Linked DNA regions of Sus scrofa. The protein of the gene in region 2 interacts with the protein of the main gene of each other region in a pairwise test. Links are inferred from orthologs where the notes say so. Each region holds a gene or a part of one and is shown on either strand. Other genes may lie near its edges.

Region 1 (7,417 bases), on a different chromosome or scaffold from region 2:
GGGTATAATGTCTCCTAACTTTGATTCTTTCCTTGGCTTTTTTAGGGCCATACCTGTAGCACATGGAAGTTCCCAGGCTAGTGGCTGAATCGGACTTGTAGCCGCCGGCCTATACCACAGCCACAGCAACAACAGGTCCTGAGCCTGAATGTGCAATCTACACCACAGCTCACGGCAATGCGGGATCCTTTAACCCACTGAGGGAGGACAGGGATTGAACCCAAGTCCTCATGGTTACTAGTTGGGTTTGTTACCACTGAGCCAAGATGGGAATTCCCTAGCTTTGATTCTTTAACACACACTAACCCTCTACCTGCACCCAAGTCACTCCCCTTTAGGCTGTGCCTGAGTCAAAGAGAGGATCAGGAGTTCCTGTGGTGGCGCAGTGGTTAACGAATCCGAGTAGGAACCATGAGGTTGCGGGTTCGGTCCCTGCCCTTGCTCAGTGGGTTAATGATCCGGCGTTGCCGTGAGCTGTGGTGTAGGTTGCAGACGCGGCTCGGATCCCGCGTTGCTGTGGCTCTGGCGTAGGCCGGTGGCTACAGCTCCGATTCAACCCCTAGCATGGGAACCTCCATATGCCGTGGGAGCGGCCCAAGAAATAGCAAAAAAGCCAAAAAAAAAAAAAAGAGGATCAGCGTAGATAGCACAGCACTAGGCTCCTGAAGTGTCAACCTTGGGAGGCTCTGAAATCAATGCACAGACTGAAAATCACTAGCACACAGGCCAAATACAACCCACAGATGGGTTATGTTTGGCTTCTAGTGTATTAGTTGCCAACTGTAAAAAATCTAGAGATGTCACATAATAACCCTAGATTTCTGGCTTAAAAAACAAATGCCAGGAGTTACCGTCGTGGCGCAGTGGTTAACGAATCCGACTAGGAACCATGAGGTTGCGGGTTCGGTCCCTGCCCTTGCTCAGTGGGTTAACGATCCGGCGTTGCCGTGAGCTGTGGTGTAGGTTGCAGACGCGGCTCGGATCCCCCGTTGCTGTGGCTCTGGCGTAGGCCGGTGGCTACAGCTCCGATTCGACCCCTAGCCTGGGAATCTCCATATGCCGTGGGAGCGGCCCAAGAAATAGCAGCAACAACAACAACAAAAAGACAAAAGACAAAAAAAAAAAAAAAAAAAAAACCAAACAGAAAACAAAAAACAAATGCCAGCTACAGTTAGCCTGTAGTTTTCCATGCTATCGTCTCACCTGGGGCCAGGTGGCAGTCAAGCCTTTGAATAAAGCAGGCATTCTCTTGGTCCTCATGGGTGCCTCTGGCTAGCTTGGCTTTATTTGAGTTTTCAACCTCATCTAATCCAATTCTCTTATTGTGTAGAGAAGTGAAAACCAAGGACCAGAGAGGAGAAAGGTCTCGCCCAAGGTCACACAGCAAGTTAGAAGTGGTGCTGGCTGAAGAGGACTGACCACTCAGGCCTCCTTCTTTCCATCTTCTCAAAGAGAGCAGGTTAGACTTCGGTTCCCGCTTGCTCCCAGGCTAGAAGCCCTTGTGCAGTGAACCTGCACGTCTCTATGCTATGGTCCTGCAGCCCCTGCTCTCATTAAACTATGTAGGTTGAAAATGTTCTCAAATCAGGTTGTGATGATGGTTGTACAGGTATAAATGTAATAAACCCGCTGAATGAAAAAAACATTAGAAAAAACAAAAACAAAAAGTAAGTAGCTGCTCTGGAAGTAGTGTTTCCTCCAAATCCTGGCACAGCAGGCTAACCCAGGAATGTCAGATTCAAACTCCCTCCCCTCACCAGCCTCATAAGCAGCTGCCCTCTGCTCACCTAGACCTTTGGCTTTCTTCTTTTCCTGGGGCCTTCGGTGGTCTCGGTCTACGACCTCGTCACTTGCCCGGATCTCGTCTGCGCCCGGCTCCCCCTTGGAGGGCTCCTTCTCACCATTGACTACTGGGGTCTCTGGCTCAGGCTCCCCATTCCTTGAGGCATAGGTCCGGGACTTCTCTGCATCTTCAGGTTCACCAGGCTCACCCTGTGCCCCATCTTCGCCTGGGCCCCCCTGATTGTTGTCTATACAGTATGTACTGAGGATGTCTTCCAATTGGCGGCTCAACTCCTCTGAGACATCACGGAGGGCCCCAGTTTTGGCTTGTGCTCCTGCAGCAGGAGGGATGAGGGGCAGAGTCAGAAATAAGACCATTATGCCACTGGCTGGGATTTTTTCAGGCCCAAACTTACTAGTTTGGGTTAAATGTTACCTAACTTCTTTAAACCTCAGTTTTATTACTGATAAAACTATTTCTCACCTCTGCCCAACCATGCTTGTTATAAGAGAAATCAAGTAAGGAGACCACCCAACACAGAGGTGGCATCATGTAGCAGGAACTCAAGGTCTAGTCCACCTGCAAATGTCACTTCTTGCTATTAAAAAAGTTCCAAGAGTTCCCGTTGTGGTGCAGCAGAAACGAATCTGACTAGTATTCATGAAGACTCAGGTTCGACCCTTGGCCTCACTTAGTAGGTGAGGGATCCTGTGTTGCTGTGACTGTGGTGCAGGCTGGCAGCTGTAGCTCCAATTCGACTTGAGCCTGGGCACCTCCATATGCCTAGGGTGGGGCCCTAAGAAACAGAAAAAAAAGAAAAAAAAAAAAAAGTTCCAGAAATGCCTCAAATAGGAATAGCAGTTACCCACTGCTGAAAGTGGTGTTTTTGATTTGCTGGTTGGGTGCCTCATTTGACTGCCAACCTGACTTAATCCTGTCAGAAGCTTCTCTCAGGAGAGTTCTGTCCCTGTGCTTAGGGTGGGAGGCTCTATCAACTCCCCAGCGCAGAGTGGGCACTCAAGGACTCAGTGGTGTCCTCCCCTCATTCTACATTTCCTCCCTTCTGGATAAACAGTGGCCTTGGCTTCTAACCCCAGAAGCTAGACTGACGCACCATAAACTCCTCCCCCTGCCCATTGGAAAAGCAGAGCTGGCACACACCCTCAGCCTTCCCTGGAGCCTGGCTGGTGGAACCTTCAGCTTCTGTCGTGGGAGCAGACTGGCTGGGCCGCCCCTGGCCTCCCTCTGGTCCTGCTTCCGGTTGCCCCGGGGTGTTTTTGGGGTTGGAAGTGTGGCCAGATTGCTTGGCAGCCCCATTCTTTTTGTCTTGGTTCTTCATTGTTGTTTGCAACGTTAGGTTATGAGCAGAACCTATAGAAACAAATACACTTGCTATTTTCCAGACTTTAAACAATTCTTCGCAGCCTGGATCTGATATCTCCACACCGGACCCGCAAAGCTTCTTAAACCGACCGGCCTTCCTCGGATGGGAGCCAGTGGGGCTCCCTATCTCTGGTCGGTCAGGGAAGTCTGGTGTGCCCAACAGCAGGGGAGAGGAGGCCTCCTTTTTCCCCGAAGCTACTTCCCCGGCACAACCCAGCCCTCTCACCACAGCCCGTGCGCCGGACAGGCTCAGGCCCAGGGACTGACGTGGCGGGACGCTGGATTCCCGGTTCCTCCCCGCCCCCCAGGCCCCACGTGTGCCCACCCCCCCGCGCGCGCGCGCAGCCACCCACGCCCCGCGCGCCCTCCAGCCGCGCGCTCCGCCCGCGCATGCGCACAGGCCTCGGCCCCTGCACTCCAGCCCGAGTCCTCGTGCGGAATCGGCGTAATTCCCTGAACCGTCCGAAGGCGTCGGGCCCCGGGCCCTCTGCTTGCCTTGTACCCCTAACCGACGCAATACGCACCCCACCGCCGACGTCCCGACGGCTTCTCCTGCTCTGGCCTCTCACCGGAAACCCTGGGTAACTGCTGCCGGCAGAGCCGCCTGCTCGCGCCGCGGCCAATCAATAGCCCGCGCTCTCGCGGGGCTTGCTGGGAAAGTTGAAGCGAAGGCGGCCTCTGAGGCGGGTGAGTTGGGAAGGCGGAGTGGGGGGGTGGAGGGACAGAAAGGACTACATGTCCCTCCATGCACCGGGCTGATCCCGACTCCCAAGCTGCAACAGGGCTTTCGTTCTTGGAGCCCAGACCCAGGAGGTCCGAAAGCAGCCAGTCATTCTGCACTGGTACTCACGTCAACCTCCTTTCCATCACGCAGAAGTTATGATTCAGCTCCCAGAGCCTTGCGCCTGGCTGCTTTTTCCCCGCACACCTCAACCCCGTCCTTCCCTCCTGCTGAGGATATCTGTGACTATCTAGGAACTCTGAGGACGAGGGATAAAATACGGTGCTGGACATCAGATCTGTATTCCTTCCAGTCCTAATTTCATCACTAATTTGTTATGTGACCGGGCATTCTTTTCATTCCCAGAGCCTCGATTTCCGTATTCCTATAGAAAATTTTAATAACAGTAGTTCTTTGAATGCTAGCTTTCCCAGTAACTACTCCAGATAAATACTGTAGTATTTGTTACTCTCAATTTACACCTGTTAGGTGATTGTCCAAGGTCACATAGCTATTGACTGATTAGAGCAGTTTCAAAGCCAGGAAGTCTGGCACCCATCTCAACTACTGGACTACCCTGCTTCTTACTCAGGAAGAAATAATCACCATGATGCGCTTTCCTTGAGGGTGAGTCAAGGTAACTTGGAAAAGTAAATACTTAATTTCCCATCCCCATTTCCACCTTGAGTCCCTCTTTGGAAGGTGCTGAGGCCCTGTAAGGGGAAGTTTGGTTTCAGCAGATTCCTGAGCCTTTTCTTTGGCCCACTCCTACCAAGTCCCAGTTGCACTGGTGCTAAAGGGGAAAAATAGCCAAGCTTTTCTCAAAATGTGAAATCACAATTCTTTTTCCATTTGTCTGTAGACAACAGAATAAAACACAGCAACCTATGTGCTTGGATTTTTTTTTTTTTTTTTTTTTTTTTTAAGGGCTGCACCTGCGGCATATGGAAGTTCCCAGGCTAGGGGTCTAATCAGAGCAGTGGCTGCCAGCCTGCACCACAGCCATAGCAACGCCAGACCCGAGCCACATCTGTGACCTACGCTGCAACTCATGGCAATGCCAGATTCTTAACCCACTGAGTGAGGCCAGGGATCGAACCTGTGTCCTCATGGATGCTAGTTGGATTCTTTACCTCTGAGCCACAACAGGAACTCCTGTGCTTGAAATTTAATGCCTAAATGGTTTTGCTTTTATTTCCTGTCAATCCTCCTCATCCCCTTGGCCTTTTAAAAAAAATTATTAAAGCGTAGTTGATTTACAATGTTTCGTCCCCCTCTGCCTTTTTTGTTCCAGCTATACTTTTACTGTTTCCAGGATTTCCCAGGTTTTTGCAGGTGCCATACCATTGTCGATGAAAAAAATGTTACCTGCCATATCAGTAAACAAAGGATGTTGCAGCCATCAAGCCATCACATTACAGCTGCCCAAAGGTGAGCCCTGGGGGAACTCAGGGTAGAAACAAATTGCCTGCCATCTAGCAGTCTGTGCTGCAGTCACCCTCCCGCCCAAGCCCATAGAGCACCCTGAGGAGACTCAGGATGAAAAAGCACCTGATAGTGGCCCCAGTTAGCTGAGTTGCATATCAAAGGAAATAAGCCCAGACTCTTGCATCTTCCCATACACAGAAAACTGCTAAATTCCTTAACTTGAAGTATCAGGTTTTCGTTTCTTTTCTTTTTCTTTTTGTCTTTTAGGGCCACACCCTCGGCAAACGGAGGTTCCCAGGCTAGAGGCTGAATTGGAGCTGTAGCTGGCTGGCCTACACCACAGCTACAGCAGTGCCAGGTCTGAGCCATGTCTGTAACCTACACCACAGCTCACGGCAACACCGGATCCTTAACCCACTGACTGGGGCCAGGGATCGAACCTGCATCCTCATGGATGCTAGTCAGATTCATTTCCTCTGAGCCATAATGGGAACTCCTCAGGTTTTCTTTAATTAACAGTAATTTACCTGCTGTTTGTTGAAAAAAACTATTATAGATCCTGGCTTCTCCCTTACGTCTTCAGAACAGTCTCTCAGAAGCTGCATCCTGGACTTAAGTACTCAGTTTTGTCTGCCAAATAAAACAACTCTCAACGTTTAGGTTGTGCTTTTTTTTTTTTTTTTTCCCAGTCAGCACCACCTTCCAAAATGCCCTTCTGAGTAAAACAAAACCTTTTGGGGCCCACCCACTTCAAAGAGCCTTTGCAGTGCTCTGCAGTTCATCCTAGCTCCCTAGGTGTGGAGAGAGTTCTGTTACATCACTAGCGATGAGGTGTTGAAATTATTGCTTACAAGTCCCTGAAAATTGCAATAACTCTTGGCTAAATTCTCTAGTCCTAAAGCCCAGCATCAGTCTGGGGGTAGAGAAGGCAGAGAATATTTTATTTAAAAAAAATTTTTTTTGGCTGCCCGGCAGCATAGGGAGCTCCCAGGCCAGGAATCAAATCTGAGCCACAGCTGTCGCAACACTGGATCCTTAACCCGCTGTGCTGGGCGGGGACTGAACCCATGTCCCAGAACTCCTGGAATGCTGCCAACCCCCACTGCACCACAGCAGGACCTCCAAGAATGTTTTAAATTGTGCAAACTGGGCATTGTTTTAGGGCTCTTAAGATGGTAAATGTTTCCCCTGGTTGAGGAGACTTCTGGGCAGTACTCTTCCCTATCCCATAGGCAGCATTTACCAGGTTACGGTGAAAGGTAATGTTGGTATAATCATATAATGGAACTCAAGCTCTGAAAGGTTTGAGATCCAAGTCTCTCAAAACTGAGGCCCTGATTACTTTCAGAAAAGCATATGGTTAATGGCTTAAGGAGATTAACTATGAATCAGGCCTTGATGGATTTCTATAGGAAGAGGGTGTTCTAGGCAGAGATAAAGAACATACCAGGACAAGGTATGCACGGGGTGAGCAGTGGGTGGCATGTGTACCAAGAAGGGTCAACAGTGGCCTACAGCTGAGTAATGAGCACAGCAGGCAGGCAAGGAAAGAAGATTTAGAAAGTTACTTTCTCCTTTGCCATAAAAGAAAATGGCAACAGTATTAGCACCTGCCAGTGAGTCAGGGAGCCCACTGGGAGTGGTGGTGACTGGTTAAATAGAGCTCTTGCCCATTGTTTTCAAGCAGAAACTCAGGCTCAGGAGTTCCAGATATTTTTAAAGATACATCTTTATTACTGTTATTTTTCAATATTGGCCACAAATTAAAATTTAAAACATACTCTATAAGCCAACCAAAACCTTCCTTTCGGATTGTATACACTTTTTGGCTGCTGGCTTGCAGCTGCTGCTTTAGGAATTGATCTAAACCAACGTGAGCAGTTTGTGAACTACTTTGGGCTCAAAGGGAGTGGCGAAGAAATGTGAAAATCCTTTAGAGAAACTCTAGAAAATGCAAACTGAACCATAGTGACAGAACTCCCGATTGGTGGTTGTTGGGAGTTAGGCAGGAAGAGGGGATTCCTAAGGGGCATGTGGAAACTTCTAGAGGTGATAGATAGGTTTCTTCACTATCTTGATTGTGGTGGTCTTGTGGATGTGTG
Region 2 (7,211 bases):
TCTCAGAAAGGTAAACGTGACTTGCCCAAGATCACAAAGCTTGTTAGGTGGCAGAGCCAGGCTCAAGCATCTAGGTGACCTGAGACCAAAGCTCACACTTTTCCCCCAGGGTGACACAGCTCCTGCAGTTTCTTTCCCTCCCCCCCCCCCCCGCCCCTTTAAGGCCTCCTTTTTCGGCATCTCCCTTGGCTTACATCTTCTTTCCCTACTTGTCTCCCCCACCCCCACACCCCCACCCCAGCTTGCTCCTCTCCAGACCTGCTTGCCGCCTTCCTTTCTTCTCCATTTATACTTCTCTTTTGGCTTGATCTCAGTTCTCCCTGCCGTTTTCTAGGGCAGCTCCCCGAAACCTTCCAAAAGCCCACAGATGTAACAAAACCTGCCTCTTTATTTGGCGGTGCAGTGGAATGTGGGACGCCTGCCTTGCTGGTTCCCAGAGACAAAGGGATGTGGGCGTTAGAAGAAAGGGCTCCTGGGGCCACCAGCTCAGTCCTAGGTGGCAAGGGGCGAGGGGCGCGAGCTCATCCGCTTCCTTTAAAAGAGGCACAGCGGCCCCTCCAGTCACATCTCATTGGCTCGCTGCTCTGCCTTCCCAGGGTGCCCTTGGAGGACCAGGCCAAGGCAATCTGGTCTGAAATTAAACCCTGACCACCGACACCTGGCACTGACCAGAAAAACAAAGAAAAAGGGCTGCAGGTGTGAAGAAGAGCGATTGAGGAGAGAAAAAAGAGCTGCAGGGAAGGGGTGTGAAATGGGAGGGCAAGAAGGGGGGGCACAGAAGAGCCAGTTGGAGAGGCACGAAGAAAGGAAATGAGCTAAACAGGAGACTGAAGGATCCGGCGTTGCTGTGGGCTGTGGTGTAGGTCGCAGATGCGGGTTGGATCCCACGTTGCTGTGACTCTGGCATAGGCTGGCAGCTACAGCTCCGATTCGACCCCTAGCCTGGGACCCTCCATATGCCACGGGTATGGCCCTAAAAAAGCAAAAAATAAAATAAAATAAAAATTAATAAATAAAGAGGAGGCTGGAGAGATAGGAGCAGGGCAAGCACAGTAGAAGAAAATGAGGGGAACGTACTGATTTCGGTCCTATTGGTCTGCGTGCCTCCGCCAAGCCCTCAAGACAAAAGTACTTGGCGGGCCCTCCAGTCTGAGTGCAGGATTTACCTTGGAGCTGCTGGATCTGCTTGGTGAACACCTCTGCCTGCTGGGCGCTGGCCAGCCGCTCATCCTCCAGGAGCCCTGCAGTGAAGGGGGAGCTGGCGTCAGGCCTGGGATCCAGGGAGCACAGAGCCTTTGGGCCCCGGCCCTCGGGGTCCGTCACAGGCACTCACCCTGCAGCTCCAGCGAGTCATCCTCATGCTGCCCTGCCAGTTCCCGGGTCTCCTCCAGCTCTGCCACCAGCTGCAGCACCTGAGCCCTCAGCTCCTCCAGTTCGGTCTCCGTGAGGCTCAGGCCCCGGTGCTTACTGAGGGACAAGGAGCCCCCGCTTCCTCCCTTTTGCACCTGATCATCCTCTTCTTCCCCCTCTTCTTCCTCTTCCTCCTCCTCTTCCTCCTCGTAGAGGGCTGGGAGTAACACTTCCCCTAGGAAAGACCCCCCACCCCCAGCGAGTAAGAGCCAGCTTCCTGTCCTTGGTCCTTCCAGGGCCCTCTAGCATGCTGTCCCAGGGCAGAGATGGTATCATAGTGCCACCTGGTGTCCCCCAAGGAGCCTCTGGGCAGGACCTGCACACGGGACGAGTCCTCAGGTGTGAGGGTCGGGGTTGGAGGTAGCCCATCCCCCTCCCGGGCCCTTCCTGGACCAGTGCTGCACCTGGTGGCCTCCTAGTACTGCCTTTGGGCACACTGAGCAGCCAAGGGCCCGGCTGAGCCCCATGAGGCTCGCACAAGGATAGCTGCTTCCTCCAGCCTCGTCTCTGGGTAGTCAAGAAAGAGTCAGACACCGGGTGTGTCTTTAAGCCCAACAGGACAAGAATTACAGTTTGGGGGTTTGTACTAAGTTTACCAAGGATCCAGGTGGCTTGTGAGAAATTAGCCCTTCCATAATAAGAAAGCGTTGCCTGTCAGTCAGTAGAGAAAGAGAACAGCCAAAGAGAATCATCTGAAATGATTCTAAATGCTTTTCTGGACAAAGACGGGGCCCCTTTCAAATACATTCTATCGAATAGCCCTTTGGAAATTTTCTGCCAGGTCCACCTTTCTTTTCTGCTGTGTCAGGAGGTCTCCCCTCCTCTCCCTGAGTGTTCTGAGGCCCCTTCCCCTGCTGACCATAAGGCAGTTTTGGGGGGGAAGTCAAGGATTCTCCTCGTGAATAAAAGAAAGCCTGCCATTTTAATGCATTAAGAAATGGGGGTGTGCTGGTCCCCAGCCTCTGGCTGGTGAGCAACCCCTCTCCTTTGCTGCAATGCAGTTCCTCTCAATAGCAAAATCTTGCCTGGATGGTAAGAGCTTGCTTTGTTTTAAAATTCTCAATCTCTGGTCCATCTTTGTCTAATAATCACAGCCTAAGGTTTATCTGGGACCCCTTGTCTCATCCGTCCCTCTTGGAGCGTGGACGTGTGTATAGGGACCTGGGGACCCTACACAGAAAGTCCTGGAAATAGGACCAGCATCCTTCTAGGGGCCTCATTTAGGCAGCAAGTGCCAAGCTGTGTGGGTGTCGAGGGTGAGATGCGCGTTGGGAGCTTGGCCTTCTCGCCGGCCCCTCTCCCAGGCTCCCTCTTTCAGGCAGTAAGATAACCTAGAGAACCGAAGTCACAAGGCTTCCATTTGAAGTTAGTGGTGACACCAGAAAGACAATTCACATGCTCACTCCTCTGGCTTTTCAAAATAAGAGACAGCTTGGGATCTGGGTCGGGAGGCAGCGAGAACAAACCCCCTGCTGCACAGCTGCTTCAAATCTCTGTCCAAGGAGGCCTCTTTCTCTCTCTGGCAGCTCCCTGGGGACACACAACTTGGTTAGCTGGTGGTTAGGACCCCAAAGGGATGTACCCTGAACTTTCCCCAAAGCCCGAGCCCTGAGGAGGGTTGGAGGGGGCTGAGCTGAACTTGGGGAAGGGCTGTGTCCTGGCTCAGAGTTCTGGGGGTCAGAGGGAGGAAGGAGGAGAGGGAAGCTGGACGAGGTGGAGGGAAAGAAAGCTTTTGGGGAAAACTCACCCTCCATGGCTTGCATTCCACGCCTTTCCAGGGACCCCCAGCGTTGGCCTTTCTTCCTCTCACAACCGTCAGACACCTCGTAGGAGCCTAAAGTGGTCACTGTGGGTCCTGTAAGCAGGGAGAGAGGGGGCACTGTGGGATGCTAGGGGCGGCTGGGGGCTGGGGTGCAGCGGGGAGGGGAGGGGACATGCCTCCTAGCCCTTTGGAGCCCTGGGGTTTTTCATCCCAGTGGAAGTACTTGGCTCAGTCTGCCCAGGGCTGCGACTCTCCGCCCCAGGTGGCCCCTCAAGCGGGCCTGCGGGGACACCGCCCTGCACTGCCCAGCTTCTCTGCCCCCCAGTCCGTGCTCCTCTCCCTTGCACAGACAGAAAGGGCGTGTGTGTGTCTCTTTAGCCCAGAGGGGACAGGCAAGGATGGAAGAGGGCGGGAGCCAGCAAAGAGAAGAGGCTCAAAGGGTGAGGTGGAAGGGGAAGGGGTGAGGGGACGCGTGCGGGAAGGGGGTCTGGACTGGGGCCGCTGCCGTCCATTCCAGCTCTCACTGGACTTCGTCCTCCCCACTCCGCCCCGCGCTCCGAAGCCTTCAGGGTCCGAGCAGGTGCGGGGTCTGGAGCCCCCAAGGCAAAAAGCACCGTCAGGCTGGAGAGACCAGATGGAGTGGGCTCAGGGGAGGGACTGCCAGGGATGATGCGGCCGGTGTGGGGAAGAGCCAGCCCGGAAAGATGGAGCCGGAGCCCGGGCTGGGGGCAGGATGGAGGAGGAAGACTTAGGACGGAGAGGTGGGGAGCAGCGGAGGGGGAGAGGACCTGGGGGTCTGGAGGGAGGAGAGATGGAGAAGAGGAAGGAGCGGCGGTGGCGAAGTGAGGGAGGGGCGCTCTGACCTGGACCCGGGCAGCTCCAGCCCGCGGCGCCCGCGCCGGCCCCGGCGCCCGCCTCCATGGCCGCTCGCGCCGCCGCCGCCGCCCGGAGCAGCCGCCGCCGCCGCCGCCGCCAGGCCGGGGACCGGAGCCGGGTGCGCAGGGGAAGGAAGGCCGGGCCGGCCGAGGGGGCGGGGCCTGGCCAGGCCACCTGACGCCGCCGCCGCCGCCGCCCGGAAGCCGGCCCTGCACCCCAGCTCCCGGACCCGGTGCAAGCGCGTCGCCAGACACGCCCCGAGGCCCGCGCCGAGGGAGCGACCGGCTCCCCTGGTCTGGCGGTGGGTCCTGCCGGGAGGCGGCTGCGTGGGGGCACCCCTCTGCGCCAAGTGCCAGGGCCCGGTCCTGCTCGGCGGTGGGGAAGGAAAAGCAAGCACCAGGAGAGCCAAATCCTCCTGGCCTGTTTCCTCCAAACGCGCGGATGCTCACACGCCCCTTGCTCCCCACGGCTGAGCGGCACCCTCCACCTGGGCAGTCAGCGCAGACCCTCCGGCCGCCAGCCTCAGCCTCAGGGCTGCTCCAGGGCTGGAGGAGGGAAACCGAAGCCAGGATACTTCAACTGCGGGCCTTGATCTCTCTGTTGGCCTTGCGCCCTCCGCCAAGCCACAAGCAGGGACCTTCTTAGAAGGGGCCGCTCCGGGACCCCACGCAGCCCTTAGTGTCGAAGACCTTTCTCCATTGCCTGCCTTCCCACCGGGCCCCAGGCCCGGTGGTCTGCAAACCACAACCCCTACTCACCTAGCCTCTGCAGCTGTTTAGAGTGGGCACTGCCGATTTTCACTCTCATAGAAGGGAGATGTGAAAGCCCAGATAGCTTATTTCACTCAACCGCTCCTTCAAGGAACTTCTTCCAAGTGCCAGATTTTGGCGAACCAATTGGGCTCACGCCTCTGCAGGTCTCAGCCAGGAAAGAAATGGGTACACTTGGGAACCCGGAGGTTCCAGCACATCTGGAAAATCACTGGGAGATTCCTAAACCAGGGACAGTCCCTTCTCTTGCGCATCCACTTACAAGGTCATGGGCATATACTGTCTGGATCACGCCCACCGGCTCCCAAGTTCACAAGCCCTCCATATTCCTCAGGAGAGAAGCCCTTCTTTGCCTCGACATCCCCTACGTACCCTTAAACACTCAGCTGGGAGTCATCTCTTGGCAGCCATTCCCGACTCACCACCCAGCCAAGCCATTAGATGCTCCTGCTGTGCTCCGACCCCTCCCCCTTCCCTCTAAGCAGCACCAGTCACTCTAGGTTGTCAAGGTCATGTTCTGACTTTCCTGTCAGCCCAGTGTTTGGAAGACCAGGAAATTGCCTTAGTCGTTTTTGTATCTCCAGTATCTAAATCATTGACACAGAATAAATGAGTGAAGTTAAATCTCCTAATTAATGCTCTGCTTATCATTTAACGTATGATCCCACACTTAAGGTGTTCAGTGTTGCCTATTAACAATAGTATTGGAGTTCCCGTCGTGGCGCAGTGGAAAGGAATCCGGCTAGGACCCATAAGGTTGTGGGTTCAATCTCTGGGCTCGCTCAGTGGGTTAAGGATCCGGCATTGCCGTGAGCTGTGGTGTAGGTCGAAGATGCAGCTGGGATCTGGCGTTGCTGTGGCTGTGGCGTAGGCTGGTGGCAACAATTCCGATTCGACCCCTACCCTGGGAACCTCCATATGCCATAGGTGCAGCCCTAAAAAGACAAAAGACACACACGCAAAAAAAAAAAAAAAAAAAAAAAAAAACCCAATAATGTTGCCTATAAATCTCTCTCTCTCCTCCCCTCCTTCCTCCCTCTCATACCTCCAGCCTGGTATGTGCTCCGAGAGATGGTGAGCACAGATCAAGATGTTTCATTGGCTCCTCAGAGGACTGAGCTCCCCTCCAGAGCCTGGGATCAAGGCGATCCAGTCTGGAGAAAGGCTGTCGAGCAAGCCCACCCAGAACATCTGCTGCAGACATCAGGCCTGTCCAGACTTGGGGAGCAGGGCAGTTTGTCAGGGATGATGGAAAGGAGCTGGTGTTGTGTAGGGCTCTGGGGAATGATGAAGTCTAATCCTAGAAGGAGAGTGACTGGTCTGCCCCAGCGCAGCTCCTGGTTCTGGCCGAACTACCAAGGTCAGTTAGCAGTAGACCTTGGGCGCTGACCTCTTGGCTGATGGAAGGGAGGAAGTTGTCAACTGTAACATCCGGGGGTCCAAGCTTTCCTCGGGGAGCTCTGATCCGGAGTATTAGGACTAATCTCTCCCTGGCTCCAGAGGTGCAGGTCACCATTCACCCTTCATCTGGGGAGTGTTCAGGAGAGACCAGAACCAGTCTTTTTTCGGGACCCAAATGTGGTTAAACTAGGCCAGACCGGTACAGGGTTGAGGGTGAGAGTAAAGATAGGAAGCCGAGGGAAAGGGCTTAGCAGGTAAAAGGGGGGGAAGTGGACTGTGGTCCAAGGATGTATCTTTGAAGGGCTAGGAATGCTGGGGACCCCAGCCAGGTGATCAGCTTAGGGGGATGATCTGAATTAATCCTTGTAATCCCCGGACCCAGGACTCAGCCTCCGTCCTAATCCCATCCCAGCAGATCGTCTTCTCTGAGGATGATGCAGCCATTTATCCCCCTTGACCCTTATTTCTAAAGGCCTAGATCCTCTCATTAAAAAGAAAAAAAAGGGAATCTTTTAAAGATGCAAAGAGTACAGTACAGAAAATAACATTAAAATTAATATCCATGTGCTCACCGCTGAAATCCAACAATTGTTCATTTCTTGCCACATTTGATTCAGAGACAGCCCTTCTATTTATGGTCTTACAGTTTTACATAAATATATATATCCACAAACAAAGTACTGATTTGTATGTTTTAAAAATATATTTAAATTGGAGTTCCCGTTGTAGCTCAGTGGTTAACGAATCTTACTAGGAACAATGAGATTGCGGGTTCAATCCTTGGCTTCACTCAATGGGTTAAGGATCTGGCGTTGCTGTGGCTGTGGCGTAGGTCAGCGGCTACAGCTCCGATTAGACCCCTAGCCTGGGACCCTCCATATGCCATGGGTGCAGCCCTGGAAAAAAGACAAAAAAAAAAAAATATATATATATATATGTATTTAAATGGAGTTATACTGTACACATTCTTTTGCAAACTTTCTTTTTCTCCT

The links. The genes of interacting proteins can lie anywhere in the genome.
Region 1: the proteins of CCDC136 (region 2) and TXLNA interact in binary tests that used the Homo sapiens proteins (3 or more experiments, as listed by UniProt). The two-hybrid records come from large-scale screens. The link is inferred for Sus scrofa from reciprocal best matches to the Homo sapiens genes CCDC136 and TXLNA.

What each region holds. Positions count from the first base shown.
Region 1 is NC_010448.4:88,656,479-88,663,895, reverse strand, and holds the start of TXLNA (alpha-taxilin), read right to left. Parts: upstream 3,846-7,417; 5' UTR 3,691-3,845; intron 3,460-3,690; exon of another isoform or gene 3,393-3,459; intron 3,155-3,392; 5' UTR 3,123-3,154; coding exon 2,945-3,122; intron 2,118-2,944; coding exon 1,788-2,117; intron 1-1,787. UniProt on the Homo sapiens protein: May be involved in intracellular vesicle traffic and potentially in calcium-dependent exocytosis in neuroendocrine cells.
Region 2 is NC_010460.4:19,819,599-19,826,809, forward strand, and holds the start of CCDC136 (coiled-coil domain-containing protein 136), read right to left. Parts: upstream 4,140-7,211; 5' UTR 4,094-4,139; coding exon 4,036-4,093; intron 3,970-4,035; exon of another isoform or gene 3,697-3,969; intron 3,266-3,696; coding exon 3,158-3,265; intron 1,586-3,157; coding exon 1,334-1,585; intron 1,242-1,333; coding exon 1,167-1,241; intron 868-1,166; exon of another isoform or gene 384-867; intron 378-383; exon of another isoform or gene 287-377; coding exon of another isoform or gene 259-286; intron 1-258. UniProt on the Homo sapiens protein: May play a role in acrosome formation in spermatogenesis and in fertilization.